Linked DNA regions of Danio rerio. The protein of the gene in region 4 interacts with the protein of the main gene of each other region in a pairwise test. Links are inferred from orthologs where the notes say so. Each region holds a gene or a part of one and is shown on either strand. Other genes may lie near its edges.

Region 1 (4,142 bases), on a different chromosome or scaffold from region 4:
TACGACTGGTCTTCAGCTGCGCTCCCCGGTCTGCTGTATTCTCCAGTCCAGAGCTTCACTGCCCAGTGTTTGAATTTTAATTTATATATTTATTTATATATTTATTTACCTTTTAATGATTTCTTGTTTACTTTTCTTGTTTGTTTACCCTTTAGTTTAATTATATATATATATATATATATATATATATATATATATATATATATATATATATATATATATATAAACTTTATTTTATACTGTTTGCTTATAATTAGATACTGTATGTGTACTGTATTTATTAAATGTTGTGAAATATATAATAAAAAGTTTGATATTCATTTGTGTGGCATTTTTACACTTTAAAGTTTACACATGCAGTTTTTAAATTAAATAGGAAAAATAAATGAACAATATTTCATATTAAGCAATACTGGAAAAGAATTGCTGCTTATCCTGTATTCTAGGCAGTAATGATAAACTGCCACAAAAAAATATCAATACAAGTAGTAAGAACGCCGCCTCGCGGTTGCTGAATGTCGCACGACAACGTTGCTACAGCCTTCTCACGTCTTACATTTCTACGTTGTGACAATGTAGCGAGCACGTAAGCGGCAACGTTGCCTTTGAAAAAATACAACGTTGTGCAGACATCGCTACAACGTAAATGTGTTTGTTGGGCGACCCTCATGATGTTTAAATGGCAACCTTATGACATCGTTGTGACAACCTTTAGCAACAACGTAGAATCCTCAACCTTTTTGCAATGTTGATACAACGTTGTAGGAAGGTCGCTACGTTGAGGCAACGTTGTGTGTTTGTTGGGAATTTTTGTTATGTTTATTTAAACGTTTCAATCTCTTCTGCATTGCTGTCTTCTGAGCGCATGCTATTTGATATGTAATTCACAACATGAAGAAAATGATTTTTTTCTCTTTTTCTTTTATTTGATCAAGCCATACAAAATAAAACGAACATATACAGTCAAGGCCGAAATTATTCATACATACCCATGTGTATGAGTAATGAATATGAAGGGAATTTCTCCTTGTCTTCTTCATAGACATGAATTAGTTGTTATAGTAACAACGCCCCCATGTTGTGTACATGAGACACAACGCAACGCTTGATCTTAGAACGCCTTTATTAAGAACTTTACAACACAAGACAATAGTTTTGTTTAAACAATGTGGATGCAAATGCTTACTGTCTGGCATGGTCATGGAATTCTCCACAGGGATCTATCGATATAAATTAATTTAACGAATAGTGTATCAATAATTAAAGTCGAACATAATTGGTTAAACCTGACAAGCGCAGAGAAAAGTAACAGACACCACGTTGCAACGCTGTCAATTGCCATTTGCCACTTTGGAGGTCTGGGAAAGAGGTTACACCTGAAAAATTAACACTGGTAACTTTAGAAATTGAGGTGAAAATATATAGTAAAATGTGAAAAAATAACGTTTTTTTTCAGACCAAACCGGTCACTTAAAAAACTATTATTGCCCTTTAGCCGCATATTCTCCATTTGTGTTTCTGTGGCGATTCTCAGTGTGGTGTGTTTGTGTGAGAGTAGCGCCGACTGTCGGGATGCATCGAGCAAGTGGACGGACCGAAGGGCGCAGCGGATGTTATGGAGAGTAATATATTTCCCGTAAAAGCTGACGAAGGGGATTGAAGCGCCGTTAAACAACCATGAATGCACAGACTGATTTCAGCTGAAGCAACAGGTAAGACAAAAGCGTTGAATGTGACGTGTCAAACAGGTGTTTAAATGACAGGTGTGTGTTCAGGTGCGTTGACAGGCCATTGACAGTGTTACATACAGTAACATCAACGCTAAAACAGCTTTATTATGGAAGGACGGATTCAGCACAGTGTTATGTTAATGTTTGAAGCAGTTTTGGATCGGTGATACTTTTTGTATGCGGATTATTGAAAAGTTGAAGTGAACTCTGGACTTCAGGCAGGTTAGCATTATGCTAGTAAACAGGAAATAGAGTATTTCAAATAATATTTTTTGGCATGTTCTATTGTAATACTAAGCTTTTGACATGGTACAATTGCGTCATCATGTTTTGCTTAACACTTTATATATCAAAGTACTACGTAAATATCATAGTACCGTATTGTTATGGAATGCTATTCTTGATTCGAATCACGTTTCATGAGTTTTCGATTAAATAAAATGTTCAAATGTTGGTGACGGTTCACTTTTATTATCATAATGCATGAGTTTGAATAATATTTATTAATTAATTAAAATGTAATGTTTATTATAATTATGCAATATAATGTATAGTTCGAGTGAAATAGCTGAGGAACAGGGAAAGGAACAATATTTGAGATTGTTTACTGCTTAAAAAGTAATTTGTACATTACTGCCCCAACAGTGATTATACATAAATATAGCAATTAACAAGCTTAATGCTTCTTTAAGCTTTAGTCACTGTGCCTGCCCACATTTTAGTTTTATGCTAGTTTTGAAACCACACAAACGCGCACACACCTACACACATTTAATTAATTAAAAATAATGGTTAAATGTTGCCAACAAGTGGACGGTCAGTTATTATGAATAATAATGAATACATAATAAAATAATCACGAGTAGGCATGAGTTGATATCCAGTTTTAAAACCGCTAAACTTTTCTGTCATACTGTTCATATAGTATACGTATATTGTTCTTTTTATTGAATATTTTATTTAGTTTTTAGAGCAACAGTATCTCCAGCAGAAAAAGACCCTCCACATTAAAATGTACTGGTCAACCAACGATTCAGAAAACATCTGAAAAACGAACTGCTTATGCAGTAACATCCAAGCATGCTGGCCTGAACAGTGCAGCGGCTTACTTTTTTATCCAAAAAAAGAGAAAAGATTCAAAGATGCCTTTTCAAGTTGTAAAGAAATCTGTGTTTTTAAAACCAATAAAGACAGCAGAAGTCTCTTTCAGCAGAAGTGTTTCTTAAAATTACATTTTAGGGATGTCCTGATCAGGTTTTTTTTGCCCTTAATCTGAGTCTGAGTAATTTGATTTTTACTATCTACCGATAACCAAACCCGATGCGATACGTCTATAATACATAAAAACTAAAAAAAAAGAATAAAAAAGAGCAAAGAAACAGATCCAGAATGTTCCTTATTTTTTTGAATAATTTACCTTATTTTACCATTCAACAACTCTGTTAACAAACAGAGCACTTCTGTGAGGTTGCTTGAATAATCAAGCGATAAACAACATATATTTTTTACTTTTGGACTTAAATGCAACAGTAAATATAAAAAAGCTAATATAAAAACAAATAGCACCTCAACTTAAAATGCCTGGCAGGCAATCACAAGTAGGCATGGGCCGGTATAAGATTCTGAGTGTATGATAACCTTGGAAAAAAAAAATCACGGTTTCAATGTTTTATGGTATTCTGCTGTCTTCATTTGTTTTAAAAAACACAGAGTTCTTTCAACTTGAAAAGGCTGTTTGAATATTGTTTCTGCTGAAGATACTGTTGTCCTAAAAAACTTAAAATGAAATGTAAAAAAAAAAGAAAAAAAAACTTGCATATACCGTAGGAACGGTATAGCAGAACATTTTGGCGGTTTTAAAACCTTGACTTTTACAAACCACGGTATACCTTGAAAATGATTATCGTCCCATACCTATTCCCAAGTTTAAAAATCTCATAGTTTGCTATGGCAATGTTGTTGTCCTTAACTTTATAATACCTCCAGACTGCAGACATACTCACGTTTTCCGCTTCAAGCTACTTCCATGTTCTACTCTGCCAGCATTTGACCAATAGTGTCTCTGCAACAAGGTGATGTCATGCCGCATGCGTTGCTGTTTCTGTGTGAAATCAAGAAAGAGGTTTAACTCTGTGCCACTGCATAACTATAGATGTTAAAAACAATGAGAATATATATATATATATATATATATATATATATATATATATATATATATATATATATATATATTATAATATAATGTCTATTATAATTATAATGTCTGATTCCAGTGGAGTCTAAAACCGCATGATCAGGCCCGATTTCCGATCATGTGATCTGGACATCCCTATTAAATATGTTGGGTTCAATAATTTTTACCCACTCTATAATCACAATACTCTGTTACCATAAAACCATGATATTTTTATT
Region 2 (4,006 bases), on a different chromosome or scaffold from region 4:
CATTAGACTCCCATGACAAGTTTCATGTAACTTACTGTGGGAAGAGAAAGCAAATAATAATACATAATATCTAAATATTCTTTCCTGTCGAAACTGTCTAAATAAGCATGCAGTGATGTTATTAAAAGATGGTTTTTACCACAGTTTTGAGGGTCAAAACCAGCTGTTATTGCTGACCAATATAATAAGTATTTTCTTTCTAGTCTTTGCATGTGGTTTTGACTTTGTCTAGCATGTGATTGGCATGCTGGATACAAATTTTAGATTGATTTATGCAAGTGAAGGCCAGAAACAACTAGACAGAAACCTTGAATGTCAAATACAGACCAGTGACATTAGTACCTTTCCCTGAAAAAACAGTGACCTTCCATGAAATGTGTTCCTGCAAAATAAAAAATAAAAAAATAATAAAATCTTTCTTTTGTTCCCAGCTATAGCTATAGTATACTGTGACTTTATATCTTACAGTTTCATGTTATAATTGTGCATTTATAAGTTAGCATCTTGAAAAGTTGTTCTCAGAGTTTAAGGTTTGTGTTTCAGTGTTAATTTGAGATATAAACTCAAAATTTTTGGAAATAAAGTAATAATTCTGGGATTACGTTCATTCCCAACTCTAAGTAATAAAGTTTGTAATGGAAACTTCAGAATTGCGAGACGTAAACAATATGAAAAAAACCTTGTAGTAATTCTGAGACATAAACTCAGAATTCAGAGATATAAACAAAACTGCATATTGAGATAAAACTCAGAGATGTAATTTTAGAATTTTCTAATTTTAGAAAGATGACAGAATTTGTAGATTTAAAACCAGTTGTGAGATGTAAAGCCAGAATTGTGAGAGGAAAATGACCTGTGCTATAAATTAAACATTTTGCACTTTTTTATAATAATTATTATTATGATAAATCAATTAGAACTGAGAGAATAAAAAGTCACCAATTATCTACAGAATGTTAAAGCATGCAGAGGTTAGTGGGTTCATGTTTAGAGGGAAAAGTGTTGGATATTTTTATAACAGCATGGGGCTTTACAGTCTCGGCCTACTGACCCCCTAGTGCTTTCAGTCACGTGACAGCCATTGATCAGCAAGGGGTGCATGCATGCCCCAGTAGCCGGCCATGATTGGTCCAAACAGGTAGTTCACGTGAACACAGGCTGATCGTCTGCAAAAATGTAATTGTGGTACCGGTAAGCTAAGAAAGTCACTCATGCCCCACGAGGCTTTTACTGAGCGTTGAAGCTGCGTTCACTTACAAGAGACACTGGGCTTGATGAAGAAGTTTGACCTAATTTAAATGCCGTAACACAGGTATGCATTAACTTGTGCTTTTCAGGTTGCTTCTTTGTAATTAATTTTAAACATAAAAGGAATTACAAGTGAATGCACTGCATTGAATCGTGCCCCAGCACGCAGGCTTTTTTAATATAAGAAGGGAGGAAACTTTATTAAACACTGTCGTGCTCAGGGAAACAGCTACAAACCAGGAAGAACATGACACAAAACGACAAAAATGATATAACGCTTTAAAAACATATGGAAAAACTATATCGCATGCGTTTTCGTTTTTAAAAAGATTCGCCGATTAAAACAGCTGGAGTTGACCGTAGACGAAGGAAGCAGCATGATAAAGCGTGATGGTATTTTGGACCCGGGAGAAAGTTGAAACTGCAAATGAGCTCCAACAGGTGTGAATCTAACGATTTGTTTCATTCATGTTTATTGTGATTATCTACGATATCAATTAAACCACTTTCTTATAAAAATAAAAGGTGAGTTTATCTCGTGCTTTACCTAATCAGGCGGAACAATGTTACATTGTTCCAGACCGTATATGGAAACAAGCTTAGACTTGCTGTGTGGTAAAAGTTTGTTTCATGTAATAGTTGGCTTAAATTAAGTTATATTTCTATATTTGGATGTTTATAAGTTTGTAAAATCTACAATAACTAAAATTACTTGCACCATTACTAAATAAAGAAGACGATTTATGCATAGTTGTGCGTGAATTTAATGTAGTCATCAATAGTTATTTAAACAACTTTAAATCATATAAATGTTCGTTAATGTTAACAGTGTATAGCTTAGTTGTTCTTACAAGTGTGTCCATTATAGGCCATACACCACAATCAATATGAGACTGATACAAGTGCACTGTAAAAATAATGCAACAGCCCTCCACATCTTTCCAGACATGACGTTGTAAGTTATGTAACTCGCTTGTCATTGCATAAACTGAGAGTATTACAGCTCACCTTGTCTCCCAATACTCTCAAAATGTAGGCTTTCATAAAGATATTGTCAATTACTATTAGTAATATATCCTTGCATATAGTCCAGCTTGGCTTATGTGCATATATTTCTTCTAATTATAACGTTTTATAATTTATGAACACTAGAGGGTGCACACTATCTTTGTGTAGTACAACCTCTCTGGGTTTCAATATCCACTCTCCGGCCTCGAGCTAAGATAAACTTGTTTGACTTGTAGACCCACTTACTGCAGTCGTTTGCGTAATGTTTAATTCTTTCATAGAGTCTATATTAAACCCTAGTTGCTGTGCATAAAGGTTTAATTGCTTCATACTGAGCCTATATGAGTTACTTCATCCTGAGTTACTTTAAAGTATGAGGGTGAAATTTAAATTAGTCATGCATTGGAAGATTTCATCAGCAGTATTCACAGACCAGGGGTGCACTCTTTAAGCTTCTCTTTAGCTTTTTAGCTTCTTTTTGAGGGAAGCTAATTTTTAGGAATGCAAACCTCTCGTGATGTATTAATTTGGTTACTAATACATGTTTTTTTTATTTTATTTTAGTGCACGTAGCTGCCCTCCCAAAGAATCTACCATGCCTATCGAACTGGCCATGTCGCTTTATCTGTCAAGCGATGAGTTCCTGAACCCAAGGGCATCTAAATACAGCGGGCCCTTGCAGCCATGTCTAAACCAGTGTCAAAGCTCCAAAATTAGTTTTAGCTCTCTTAAGGAGCAGTCCGAGTTCAATGGGGTCAGCAGAGCCTTGATGATACCTGGCAGGGCCAAAAAACATGTCTCTTTTGCTGATCACAAGGGCCTCGCTCTGACCGTGGTGAAGATATTCTCTGAATTCGATGACCCCATTGACATTCCAGACAACATCGATAATTTTTTCACCTCTTCGCTGACTGTATCAGAAGGAAAGGACAAATTAACCCTCGATTTTGAGCAGCCGTCTGCTGATTACTTGAAATTCCGTCAACGAATAGAAAATGATCATGTCTGTCTCGAACACTGCATGCTTAAGGAGAAATCTATAATGGGCACAGTCAAAGTCAAGAACATTTCCTTTGAGAAGTCTGTTAAGCTTCGCATTACATTTGACACTTGGAAGAACCACACAGATGTAGAATGCCAGTACGTAAAGGACACTTACACCGGCTCAAACCGGGACACTTTTTCATTTGAAGCTAGTTTGCCTGAACAGGTGCCCTCACATGAACGCATCGAGTTCGCTATTTGCTATGAGGTCAATGGTGATACACTCTGGGATAACAACCAAGGAAAGAATTACAGAATCATTCAGTCAGCACTGAGGAAGAGTTCAAATGAATCTAACGGTGGGCATCAGCAATATTCCCAGAGCGACTGGGACATTCATTTTGACCGATATGGCAGCCCCAGATGCTCCCGTGGAATCTTTCCCCATTGGCCAAGCTATGTTGGATATGAAGATATCGGCCCATATTATTAAGAATCTACTTTTGGCGTAGTCTATCATGCGCGCTTATCCAGAAGACATTGTGATGAATGCCACTTCAAAATGACACTTTAAAAAACACAGCAGGTTTGATGTTCTAATCCAAGAACTTGTCGGACTCTGAAGCCATATAGACTCTTGAGATATTTATTGTTAATAATGGATTACATTGTGCAACAAAATGAGTCCTGTTTTTAAAAATACTGTTCCTGGTGCGATACTAATGTAATTATGCGGGTAAATTTGTTTATTTCTAGTGCCTGTCAA
Region 3 (4,258 bases), on a different chromosome or scaffold from region 4:
AACTCTGATTTTCAATTACAACAAATGAAAACATTTGTTATTTTGACTGACTGTGATTTTCTTGGCAAAAAAAGCCCTGAAATTTAAATTTGAAATTTGCACTTTACTCATTCACATAATAAATGAATCCAGTAAAATACTAATGAATTATTAAGTGGCCTCTTAATTGTAAAACCTAAATAAATCAATGCTAAAATGATAACAATAATCACCAGCACTTTTCATTAGAAAACTATTAATCTTGAATCTAAAAACTGTAAATTTTAGTTTCACACATTGCCACATGTTGGGAAAATATAATCCATACCTATTCCCTACCTCTAAACCCAACCATAACGGTAAATTATTCCCAAAATCAGAGGTGAATAATAGTTGGATAACAATCATATAGAAGTGCATAAACCTAACCGAAGCCTAAGCATAACATAAACGGAAAACATAGCCCTCAATTCCGATTGGCTGATTGGAATTTTGTTCCAGGATCAACATAGATGTTAACCCAGGAACATGTCCCACTTGGTGAAATCAGGTTCACATATTCTCCATGATCAAAACCTAAAACATGGATATCTCAAATATGCAATAAACTGGTATAAAACACACCATTTTTGATGCAAAGTACTCAGTAGTTCTTCATTTTTGAATTATGATCAACTGGCAAGCGGCTTTTAAAAGCACTGCACACTGTACCATGCGGTTATTGGGGACCATTACTATTAAAAACCGGAGCACAAAAAATGAGCCTGAAAGCAAACATAATAATCCAATGCATATCAAATAAATGACAAACGAACTTCATTGAAAGGCATATGTCGGATGTTTGACATAATTTACATATCCCAGAGATGGTCCCCGAGGCAATAAATATGATCCCATACATCCAGAGACACTCCTTCAATCCAAAAATGCAAATCCAGTAGCGCAAATCCTCAAAAAATCAAGAAATGACATGTTTAGGAAAATGAATGAATGCAGCACAGGTCATTTAAAAGCAATGATGCGACTGTGGGCTGGTCTATGTTTGCAGACACACACACACACACACACATCCTGTGGTCTATTTGAGGTGGACAGAAAGCATGAATAATCACCTTGCCGAACTGACTACACATCAGCCTGTTTGACTGGTACGCACTGAAATAGCTCGTCCTAGATGTGACACACACAAACACTATGCCTTTCAATGGACAAACTGCATAGGTGACGGTGCAATTTCTTAAAATGCAAACATTATTTTTATTTGTAGATGCTGCCGTGCACCGCTTCCATACACACCCAGCATCTGGGATATTAAAGGGGTCTGGCAGTGAAATAGGCAAATAATTGACGATTTATTATGACTGTTTGCACAACAGTGTCTATTAAAATGCAATTATTTTACCAATAATGTGCATTTATAATAGATTCAGCAATTATTTATTCAGTAATCACACTAAATAACAAGTTAATGACACTTATTTGGCAATTATTAGTATAGAAACAACTTGCAAACATTTGACATCCAATTATATAGATGACTGTGTATTTCAGTTGTCATTGCTTTTTAAGATTTACTAATAGTATCATCATATGTAGTGTTGTGCATGTCAAATTATGAACTACATTTTCCAAATTTGACTTCTGGCCACTACCAGAAAAACACAAGTGAGTAAAGAAATATCTCTAGTAACATCTGTTGGAACTAGTGACAAACACATAAAGTAGATTGGTGTATATTTGAATGCAATATTGTTAGGATAACACATTATATCAAGCATCAAAGAAAACAATTTGTATATTAATTACTAGAATATACTGTCACTGAAATATTAAATGCAATGGGAAACAATTTACCAACACAATAGCAGAGATTGACAAAGTGCTTATAAATGAAGTGCTGAAACACATTCACGTTAAAGGGATAGATGGTAAAACGGCCTGCCACAGTATGACCCACTATGATTGGGATGACACATCACATATGATCAATCCCATGATTTTATATGCTTTATTGGAAAATACAGATAGAGGGTCTTATGACAGGGCAGAAAATGGCATGCTGTGTTGCAACCGGTCCAATGATCAACCCATTTTTCCGTGTAGGCTGGGCTGTATGGGGAAAGACAAGGCAAAAGTGAAACACAAAACCTTTTTCTCGTTGACTTACCTTGGGCAGAAATACACAGCCTTTAAACCGCCGAATCTGTCGCTCGTTCCTGTGCTTCCTTTATTTGGATGGTTTTCTGTTCTTTGGGGATTTTCTGAGCCAATATTTCAGCTTTAGACTTCCACAAGGTTACGAGATGACAGACAAAAGCGACTTCAGCCCATGGAAATGACCAGACCAAAGAGGAAATATCAGCTTTTTCACGAAGATATAGTGATGTCTGAACATTTAAGCATCGTAAACAATGGATATTAGTCTTTACGTGGAGTGTAAATGGGGGGTTTGTGTGTTAAGAAGCCTATGCGAGAATTCAACGTTGCAGTCAAGCTCTGTAAAGATAAAAAACGGGGCAGACGAAGGCAGACAAGGACCGTATTCACTAGAAATGACAAATCCTGGCGTTGAGGCGTCCAATAAATGCACATAAAACCTCTAGGTGATCCTTTAAAACGCCTGCATTGAAAAAGACCAGATAGAGCCGAGCCTTCGGGGCTTTTTTTCCTCCGGATTGGTGGTTGTGTTCTGCGCTATGTTTAGACAAATCGCAACGTTATATTTCCACCCCGAAGGAAAGAAAAAACAAAAATGATGTGTAGTATCTGTCGGCCCGAGGACCCTATGGGCCTCTCTTCTGCCCCGGTTTGTTACAATGTAACAATAGAGTAAGGAATGCCGCACGGCACCCATATATACTGATTGTGACGTCACGTACGTGACGGCGTAGAGGATGCCGGGAAGTGTAGTTCTAAAACCGCTTGTTAGCATTCGAAACTACGTCGTCTTCTTCGACAGGAAAACGGACATTGTTCCTCTCTGCGGTTATATTTGGAAACAAGGCGTGTAACGCAATAAAAGGCAACTGTGTGTCAAACAGACGCCTTATCTGTGACAGTCACGCTAAGCTAGCTGGGTCTGTTTGTAGTCCTTGCTTTTTTTGACAGTTCGGTTTCCATGGAAACTAAGTGGGGTCATTCTCAAACTCTAGACTAGACGAGCACTATTAGGAAAAGACTTCAAAAACAATTACACATGTAAGAAAAATAAAGGTAGATGAAGCTCAGTGTGTCAACTTCATGCTGGGGACACATTTCAGCCTGAAACTCAAAAGAGAAGGATAAGAGATTAATTTAGATTCATTGATTTGGTTATATATTTTGTGCCCCTTATTTTTGGCAATGAAGCTAAATCATTTCATAAGATATATTAATAGTCCAAAATTTGCTAATTTACATATGCAAATATAGATTTTGAGGTTATTTATTTTTATTTATTTAATTTAATTTTTGGGTGATGTGCACCCACAGGACCATAGCTAGGGGGGGGGGGGGGGGGGGGTTCGGGTGGTATGAAAGACCCACCCTCCACTGACAAACGTCCAGAATTTGTCCTAAACATGAGCACTTTTGTCCTGTTTTGACTCCTATGCCATAATTAATATATGATAACCCAATGAAAAAGGCTTTAAGACCAATAAAAAAGTTTGAAGCACCAAAAGCGGCCAATATTAAAGTTTAACTTTAATACCAATTAGACTTGTTGTCATTTGTAACTTTCAAATGTACTTTTATAATTTATTATTCTTTACCTAATTTAATTTATGATTCAAATGGCCAAATTTGGACTGTGGAAGATTGAATGTACTGACCAGTTTGTCATTCGTCTAATAAATGACAACAGGCAACAGATTTAATTAAAAAATTTAACAGATTCCTATTTTTCAACCATCTGACAGGCTAATCCAGCAAAAAAACGGTGCTGAAATGTCACTAAAATGCAGTATTTAATAGAAAATTTAAAATTAAAAAAATGAATTATATATTAATTTTTAAAAATCAAATAGAAAATGAACCAAATAGCTGTAAAAAAAAAAAAAAAAAAAAAGTCTGCCTTTAAAAACAAAAAGAACCACCCACTTTCACCAGGCTGGCTACAGGCCTGACCCATGTTACCAATGCAGTGCCTTATTGAATGGCCATGAATTGTCTGCAGTGTTTTCCACTGTAGAATCTTAATAGGCATTCTAATATAATCTTAACAACTTAATAGTCTCTCGATAAAGGAAGGAATCGATTTTAACCAGTAACACTGTTAAACATTTAAAGACAAACTCGT
Region 4 (4,057 bases):
ACCTTCTCCACCAATCAGGTTGGCACTTTTGTTCACGTGCACGGAGCTGCTGAAGTTACAGTAAACAGCACTTGGAGGCTCTCAAGCGCAAAGCTGTCAAGAAGATGCCTAGAGGCGATATGAAGGTGGAGCTGCTTATTGCATTGGTGAACAATAATCATTTCCTCATCGCTAAAGCTGGAGCTGCTACTTGAACCATCCATAACAACAAGCATGTCAACTTTGTCTTCTTCTTTAGTGTTACATGCGAATGTCAGAAGCTTAAAGTTGTGTAGCGTCATCTAACGTCAAGGAGTAATTTTGCATATCCTTTTGCTTGGGTCTTTTGCAAAATTGCTTGGGTTTGAATCCGGAAAAACACCTTGAAAAATGCTGACCATAAACGCAAACGAAAAGCGTCCCGGTGTGTACGAGCCTTAAGATTAAATTTCTATTGAATTCTAACTTATTAAAAGTAACTATCTATAGTTATTCTAATGGCTATTTCTATTTGGCATGTATTTTACTATGCCAATAAATGCCAACAATCACCAGATAACAGCATATAATTTCTCAAACCTTTCGCAAATCTAATAAACACTGAATCAAAAAATTCACCCATTCAATAAAACTGCCAGCTGTCAGTAGACATGAAACAATCACCACTTTCAAGGTATATCGCAGTTTGGAAAAGTCAAGGTGCAAAACTGTCAAATTTTCTGCAATGTCATTCCTAAGATATGTGTACTTTTTTTGTTTTTAGGACAACAGAATGTCTAGCAGAAAAGATATCCAAAGACGTTGTTTTAAATAAAATAAAAAAATCTTTTTTTAAAACTAATAAAGACAATGATTCATTTCATAACAGAAAGACAAGGATTCATTTGAACTATTTGGACATGTTTACTGTTACAAAATATTTTAAACATTTCTCTTCAAAATGAAAGATATTGTGTTCAAAGGGGAAAAAAGTTTTTGTTTATTACCCAGAGGTTTAAAAAGAGCATATATTTCAGAGCAGTTATCACAAAACCAAGAAACCACAATATTTTTGAAAGGTTATCAAACCATCAGAATCTTATACTGGCCCATGCCTAGTTATCTGTGTCTGAGAGTTGTGAATTGGCCTAAAAGTACAACTACATATAGTGTAACATTCCTTACAGCACGCGGGAGGAAATATACAGCTTTCAATGCCATTAAGAGGAGGATTCAGTGTAATCTTATAATAAGGGGAATAATAAGCAATTAAATCATTAGGGAAATGAAGTGAAACATTACTACGGCCAAGTACACAAAATAACGCTTTAAAAGTGTTAATTGTATTTAAATAGAGGAGGAATCCCCCAAATAATTGCAAACTATCGTGAGTAAAACAAGAGACAATGTAAATGTGGTAACCATAGCAACATTTTTGTTAACAGCTACTAAAGATGACTTTAAACACATTTCTTTAGAAGGCTGCTTCACAGAGGCCACTCTTCAAGTTTTGCCACATATACAAATTACAAGCAATCCTTGCGAAGTGTCTTTTGACATTAAAAATACAGTTTATCACTACAAGCTTGTTTATTCTAAGTTAAAACATTGGTTTTTAGGTTTGCTGTGTCAATTACAACATTAACATTTAGTTATTATTTAATTTTTTTTTGTTACAAGCTGTAGAATGTCTGTATATGTACCCATCAATTGCATTTCCTTGAAATAAAGCACTTGCTGTAGTTGCCACTCATATAAATGACTGAACTGTGTAAACAGCACAGATTTAAACAATCAAATCTGAACTGACAACCAAATTTAGCTGCGGCCTTATAGCAATGAAACCTTGTGAATATGCAGTGATAAATAGGCATGGACCGATATAAGATTCTGACGGTATGATAACCTTGGATAAAAATATCACAGTTTCACGGTATTGTGATCACTGCTCTAAAATATGTCTTTTTAAATGTCTGAGTAAAAAACAGCACCTATATCTCAACAAAAACAACAACAACATATACAACTCAATGTTACCTTACATTCTTTGTATGGCTTTACTAAAGTTATAACAAACGTTTCCAATGAAAGCATTGAGACATTAAAGGTATGCAACGGTATAAAGATAATATGTATTTATGAAGGGAAGAAAAATTATGACAAATAATACATATTAAAAGGGAAATATGAAGAGTAACGATAATGTAACGCTGTGAATTGTAACGTTACTTACATTGTACAATTACGGATAAGATTGAGTGTATTGTTACACACAAAACACCGTGAACATTAATAAGATGATTTAGAAAATCCATTTGTTTCACATAAATCAAGAGTTTTAACGTACACGGTGAATAACACGGTAATCCTGTATTTTGAAACCAGTAGAAGCAGAGTCTAATGGAGAATCGGGTTTACGTCGGTTGCATTCGCCTAAAGTCGACGACGCAGCGAGCACCGCATCGTCCTGCCCTTTCTCCCATTTCTCGCTTTCTTTAAACATCTGCTGTATAAACCACAGGCCCTCGCGTCTCATCCCTGCTTTGGTAGATATTAGATCTAATCTGAACCTCCCAGCGCTGGTATGAAAGCTGCCCAAACCCCGGGGCCACTGCCGTGTTTGTAAACAGGGCGCAGAGACCCGAAGCTTTGCTCTCTTTTTAAACGCAAAATTTCCAATTCACCGGCGATAAAACAAGTCACAACTAGTGTCTAATCACTGGGTTTATCGTGTAAACGTTAGAAAGGCTAAATTTTCAAACAGCTTACCTTCAAGAAGTCGAGAGATGAGACTGTCAACGTTTAATTCCCCCTCCGCCATCTTCAGTGCCGAGTTCTGCATGCAGCGCTTCAAGCAACGGCCGCTAGGTGGCGCTTGCAATGACGTCATTCACTTGGTTACAAGCAGTTACGTCAATATTAATGACCTTTTCATAAATATTTAATCGCGTTTGAAGGCAAACTTTTGACCTGTTGATAGGAGTTTAATTGTTAATGGTGTTTCCTATTGTTTAATGTTTGGCTATTTGTGTATTTGGTTTCTCTTCTAGATGGATTTTTTTCATAATAGGTATACTCTTGGCATTTATTTATTTTTTTCAATATTTTAATAAAATCAATATTAATGTTTATGTAATGCAAAGTTAAAAACTTAATTTTAATACCTTAACTTAAACACATTAAAAATACAAAGACTAGTATTTGTTTCCACTGATGTAAACCTGACAAAAGTCTTGTTGTCTATCCAAATTTTAAGGACAACAAATAATAACTTGACTTCTAAGCTTATTAAGTTTAAGCTTATTTTACTGAAATAAAATATGATCATGCCTCGATTTTTAATTATTTAATTAGGACAGTAAGATCTGACTTTGCTTAGACAAGTCTTGTTACTTAACTGAAATAATGTACAGTTTAGAATATAAAGTCATGCTGCAGTGGAAAGATAATTATTATTGTGTATGACTCCCGTGAGCTTGGAAGACTGCATCCATACATCTCTGCAATGACTTAAATAACTTATTAATAAAGTCATCTGGGATGGCAAAGAAAGCGTTCTTGCTGGGCTCCCAGCAATCATCAAGATTCTCTGAATTCATCTTCAATGCCTCTTCCTTCATCTTACCCCAGACATGCTCAATAATGTTTATGTCTGGTGACAAGGCTGCCCAATTCGGAGCACCTTGACCTTCTTTGCTTTTAGGAACTTTGTTGTGGAAACTGAGGTATGAAGAGCGCTTGATGAAGAATTTGCCTTCTCCTGTAGTTTGTAATGTAATGTGCAGCACAAATGTCTTGATACCTCAGGCTGTTGATGTTGCCACCCACTCTGCAGATCTCTTGCATGCCCCCATACTGAATGAACCTCAAACCATGACTTTTCCTTCACCAAACTTGACTGATATCTGTGAGAATCTTAGTTCCATGCGGGTTCCTATAGGTCTTCTGCAGTATTTGTGATGATTGGAAAACAGTTCAACAAATGATTCATCTGAAAAATCTACCTTCTGCCACTTTTTTAAATGATCAACTAGAAGTCAATTTATTATTTGTTGCCCCTACTACTGGGGTAGACAACAAAACTTTTATCAGGTAGTGT
Region 5 (3,519 bases), on a different chromosome or scaffold from region 4:
TAACCATTTTTTGGTTATAGCATTTTTTACAGGCTATCAGCAAAATTTTCAGCAGTTTTTTGTCAGATTTTTCTTCTAACATAGGATTTTTTTAGGCCTAAGTATAAAGTTGAGGAAGAAAAATCGATGGGGATATAGAATATATTTTCTAAATATTTATGAATGTCTTGCCAAAATGCCTGGATTTTTAAACATTTCCAGAAAATATGTGAATGATTTGCTTTATTTGAGCCACATAATCTCCAGCAGACTGCCTTTTTGTATAAATGTGTCTTTTGCTCAGGGATGACGAAAAAACGAATGATGTTTTTCCAACCAAATTCCCTCCAGACTGAGGAGGATGTTGATTTCCACTGTGTTTTAAAAATTATTTTCCACTCTTTCTCAGTAATTTCAATTTATTTTTTATATAATATGTGTTCTCTAATTTATTGTCTTGTAGACTTTTATACAACAAAAATTTTAACTAAAAAAGATGTAGTAGTGTAATGACGATACTGAAAATTGACAAAAAAAAAAAAGATAACAAATAATGAGATTATTTTTATGGAATTGCAGTAATGAGAAAGTAAGAGTATTTTGGGTGACAAAACAAACAAGGAGATATATATTTTGTAAAAATTTTCTGTTAATATAATACATTTACAACTTGCTTTTCAATGTTCTCTGGACATTTTGAAACAAGAAATTACATTAAAAAAACATTAAATGAACATCCAAATCAAATATTTCATGTTTCAGAAATACATCTAACGCGTTCAGAACATTGAGGGTTCATCCCTGTGCCCTAATCATCATGTTCCCTTCTAAGGGGTTTCGAAATGTTCGCTGTTGACATTGTAACATAAGTACATGTTCACTGTTAGATCAATTAATTGCTTTAATAAAAAAAACTTGACAAGTGACAAGTTGAACTTTTAAGGTGACTTAAAATTCAGCAAACTACAGTATGTGAAAAATGTGAAAATTAAGTCAATAGGTTTAACTGTCACCGTCTCGCTACCGGGACACTTAAGATAACTTCACTATATGTCAGTCTAATCCTAATCATGATTCTATCATGAATCATGATGCCTATATCTTCTAAATAAATATTTTACCATATGTCAATACAATATATTTTATAATATGTCACCTATTGGACTGTTTGCAGTTACATTTTTAAAGTCTAAACATAAGTCAGTAATGACAAACTATATATGATTTCAAAGCTTAAAATGTCTATTTTTTGATGGTTTAATTGATTTTAAGGAATTATTACTGAGCAACAGTTATTTATTTATTTTGAAACAGGAGTATTGATCAGAGTATTGATGTCTTAAGAGAATCAATTTTAATGAAACACAACAAAACACTGTCCAAACTGTGTTGAACCCTTTTAAATATAATAAAAATTGTACATCTGTCTAAAATGAGACTAAGCTTATATCTATATAGCAAAGTGTTGAAGATTGGCGTTCATTTAAGTCCTAGGTCTCAAACTCAATACCTGGAGGGCCGCAGCTTTGCACAGTTTTGCTCCAACCCTAATCAAAGATAGCTGATCTAATAATGTCTAGTGATCTTGACAACTTTGACTCGTTGGATCAGCTGTGCTTAATTAGGGTTGGAGCAAAACTGTGCAGAGCTGTGGCCCTCCCGGAATTTGAGGTCTATGAAGTTGAACATGCCATTTTCATGTCTATGTTCAAAAAGTGGGGGTTGCAGTTAAGGGGTTTTAATCACTTTCTACAAATAAAGTCAACTAATGGATTATTCAGAGATCCACCTGAATGTCCAGTACAGTAATGCAGATCCTAAATGAGTAGTACATGTAACAAATACAAGTTAAAATATAACAATAAATAATAAACTCATAAGAAAATAAGGTGTAGTGTTCAGCACTGATGAGGTTTGTCTTACATGTCTCCTTCCAGTCCTTATCCTCCTCCTCTAGTGTGTTTTTGCTGCTCTGCACCTCCTTTAGGCACTGGTAAATCTGCTGTTTCCTCTCCTGCTCCAGCCTCCTCAGCTCCTCCTCAGCCTTACGCCTCTCCTCCTGCTCCATTTTCTGAGCAAAAACAAGCATCCAGAGACCACAAATAAACTTAAAAGGAGAAAAAGGGAACAAAGGGTAACAAAAAAAGCCCCTGCAATAAGTAAAGTATTAGTTTACACAAAATATAAATTCAGTTATTAATTACTAAAACCCCCTGACACCTTTATTAATCTTTAGAATACAATTTAAGGTATTTCAGGTGAAATGTGAAAGCTCCCTCAAACTCCATACACAACAATGGTTTTGACTCGAGCAGAAAGGAACCAAAAGCATCCTCGAAACAGACCACACACCTGCAGTGGTTCATTCAAAATCCTATCATGTCAATTGTGCTCATATAAAACAGGAATAATGTCTTTATTCAACAGTTTCTCTCCTCAGTGTGAGTACAGGGTGTGCACCACATTCATGAGCACTGTGCACTGATGCATACCCTGGATGCCCATGACCAACTTTGAAACAAAGCACACATTTTATGAGAACCTGCACTGTAAAAAAAAAAAAAAGAAAAAGAAAAGAAAAAAGAAAAAAAAGTTGACTCAACTTAAAATTGTACGGCTTGGTTAAAACTTTACAAAAGGTCCAAACATCATCTGTATGTGCTCGTCATGGGATTCTACTGTGCAAAGTAGTCCACAGGGTTCACTGGTCTTAGTGTAAACTGGCTCGCGTGTTCACTGCTACAGATTTAAACTGTGACAAATGTCACTCCGAACCTGCAAATCTACTTCACATGTTTTGGACCTATCCAGCTTCGTTTCCTTCTTGGGAGTCTGTTTTTGATTCATTTTCAGTAATTACATTTATTAAAATTGATCCATCTCCGTTAATTGGCCTGTTTGAAATTATTCGTCAATACACACACACACACACACACACACACACACACACACACACACACACACACACACACACACACACACACGCGCAGGCACGCACACACACACACACACACACACACACATATATATATATATATATATATATATATATATATATATATATATATATATATATACACATACATACACAGTTGAAGTCAGAATTATTAGCCTTCCTTTGGATTTTTTTTCTTTTTTAAATATTTCCCAAATGATGTTCAACAGAGCAAGGAAATGTTCACAGTATGTCTGATAATATTTCTTTTTCTAGAGAAAGTCTTATTTGTTTTATTTTGGCTAGAATAAAAGCAATTATAAATTTTTTAAACACCATTTTAGGGAAAAAATTATTAGCCCCTTAAGGCTATTTTTTTCTTCGATAGTCTACAGAACAAATCATCATTATACAATAACTTGCCTAATTACCCTAACCTGCCTAGTTAACCTAATTAACCTAGTTAAGCCTTTAAATGTCACTTTAAGCTGTATAGAAGTGTCTAGAAAAATATCTATTAAAATATTATTTACTGTCGTCATGGCAAAGATAAAATAAACTAGTTATTATTAGTTATTAAAACTATTATGTTTAGAAATGTGTTG

What was found.
Region 1: the proteins of ppp1cb (region 4) and ppp1r16a interact in binary tests that used the Homo sapiens proteins (3 or more experiments, as listed by UniProt). The two-hybrid records come from large-scale screens. The link is inferred for Danio rerio from reciprocal best matches to the Homo sapiens genes PPP1CB and PPP1R16A.
Region 2: the proteins of ppp1cb (region 4) and ppp1r3b interact in a two-hybrid assay, tested with the Homo sapiens proteins (2 studies listed by BioGRID and IntAct). The link is inferred for Danio rerio from reciprocal best matches to the Homo sapiens genes PPP1CB and PPP1R3B.
Region 3: the proteins of ppp1cb (region 4) and csrnp2 interact in binary tests that used the Homo sapiens proteins (3 or more experiments, as listed by UniProt). The two-hybrid records come from large-scale screens. The link is inferred for Danio rerio from reciprocal best matches to the Homo sapiens genes PPP1CB and CSRNP2.
Region 5: the proteins of ppp1cb (region 4) and sh2d4a interact in binary tests that used the Homo sapiens proteins (3 or more experiments, as listed by UniProt). The two-hybrid records come from large-scale screens. The link is inferred for Danio rerio from reciprocal best matches to the Homo sapiens genes PPP1CB and SH2D4A.

Annotation. Positions count from the first base shown.
Region 1 is NC_133187.1:14,314,840-14,318,981, forward strand, and holds the start of ppp1r16a (protein phosphatase 1 regulatory subunit 16A), read left to right. Parts: upstream 1-1,330; 5' UTR 1,331-1,411; intron 1,412-1,558; 5' UTR 1,559-1,712; intron 1,713-4,142. UniProt on the Homo sapiens protein: Inhibits protein phosphatase 1 activity toward phosphorylase, myosin light chain and myosin substrates.
Region 2 is NC_133196.1:21,261,071-21,265,076, reverse strand, and holds the start of ppp1r3b (protein phosphatase 1 regulatory subunit 3B), read left to right. Parts: upstream 1-1,198; 5' UTR 1,199-1,312; intron 1,313-1,577; 5' UTR 1,578-1,675; coding exon 1,676-1,689; intron 1,690-2,820; coding exon 2,821-3,733; 3' UTR 3,734-4,006. UniProt on the Homo sapiens protein: Acts as a glycogen-targeting subunit for phosphatase PP1. Facilitates interaction of the PP1 with enzymes of the glycogen metabolism and regulates its activity.
Region 3 is NC_133198.1:36,610,542-36,614,799, forward strand, and holds the start of csrnp2 (cysteine/serine-rich nuclear protein 2), read right to left. Parts: upstream 2,806-4,258; 5' UTR 2,147-2,805; intron 1-2,146. UniProt on the Homo sapiens protein: Binds to the consensus sequence 5'-AGAGTG-3' and has transcriptional activator activity. May play a role in apoptosis.
Region 4 is NC_133192.1:27,042,076-27,046,132, forward strand, and holds the start of ppp1cb (serine/threonine-protein phosphatase PP1-beta catalytic subunit), read right to left. Parts: upstream 2,801-4,057; 5' UTR 2,780-2,800; coding exon 2,728-2,779; intron 1-2,727. UniProt on the Homo sapiens protein: Protein phosphatase that associates with over 200 regulatory proteins to form highly specific holoenzymes which dephosphorylate hundreds of biological targets.
Region 5 is NC_133185.1:7,473,443-7,476,961, forward strand, and holds part of sh2d4a (SH2 domain-containing protein 4A), read right to left. Parts: intron 2,051-3,519; coding exon 1,903-2,050; intron 1-1,902. UniProt on the Homo sapiens protein: Inhibits estrogen-induced cell proliferation by competing with PLCG for binding to ESR1, blocking the effect of estrogen on PLCG and repressing estrogen-induced proliferation. May play a role in T-cell development and function.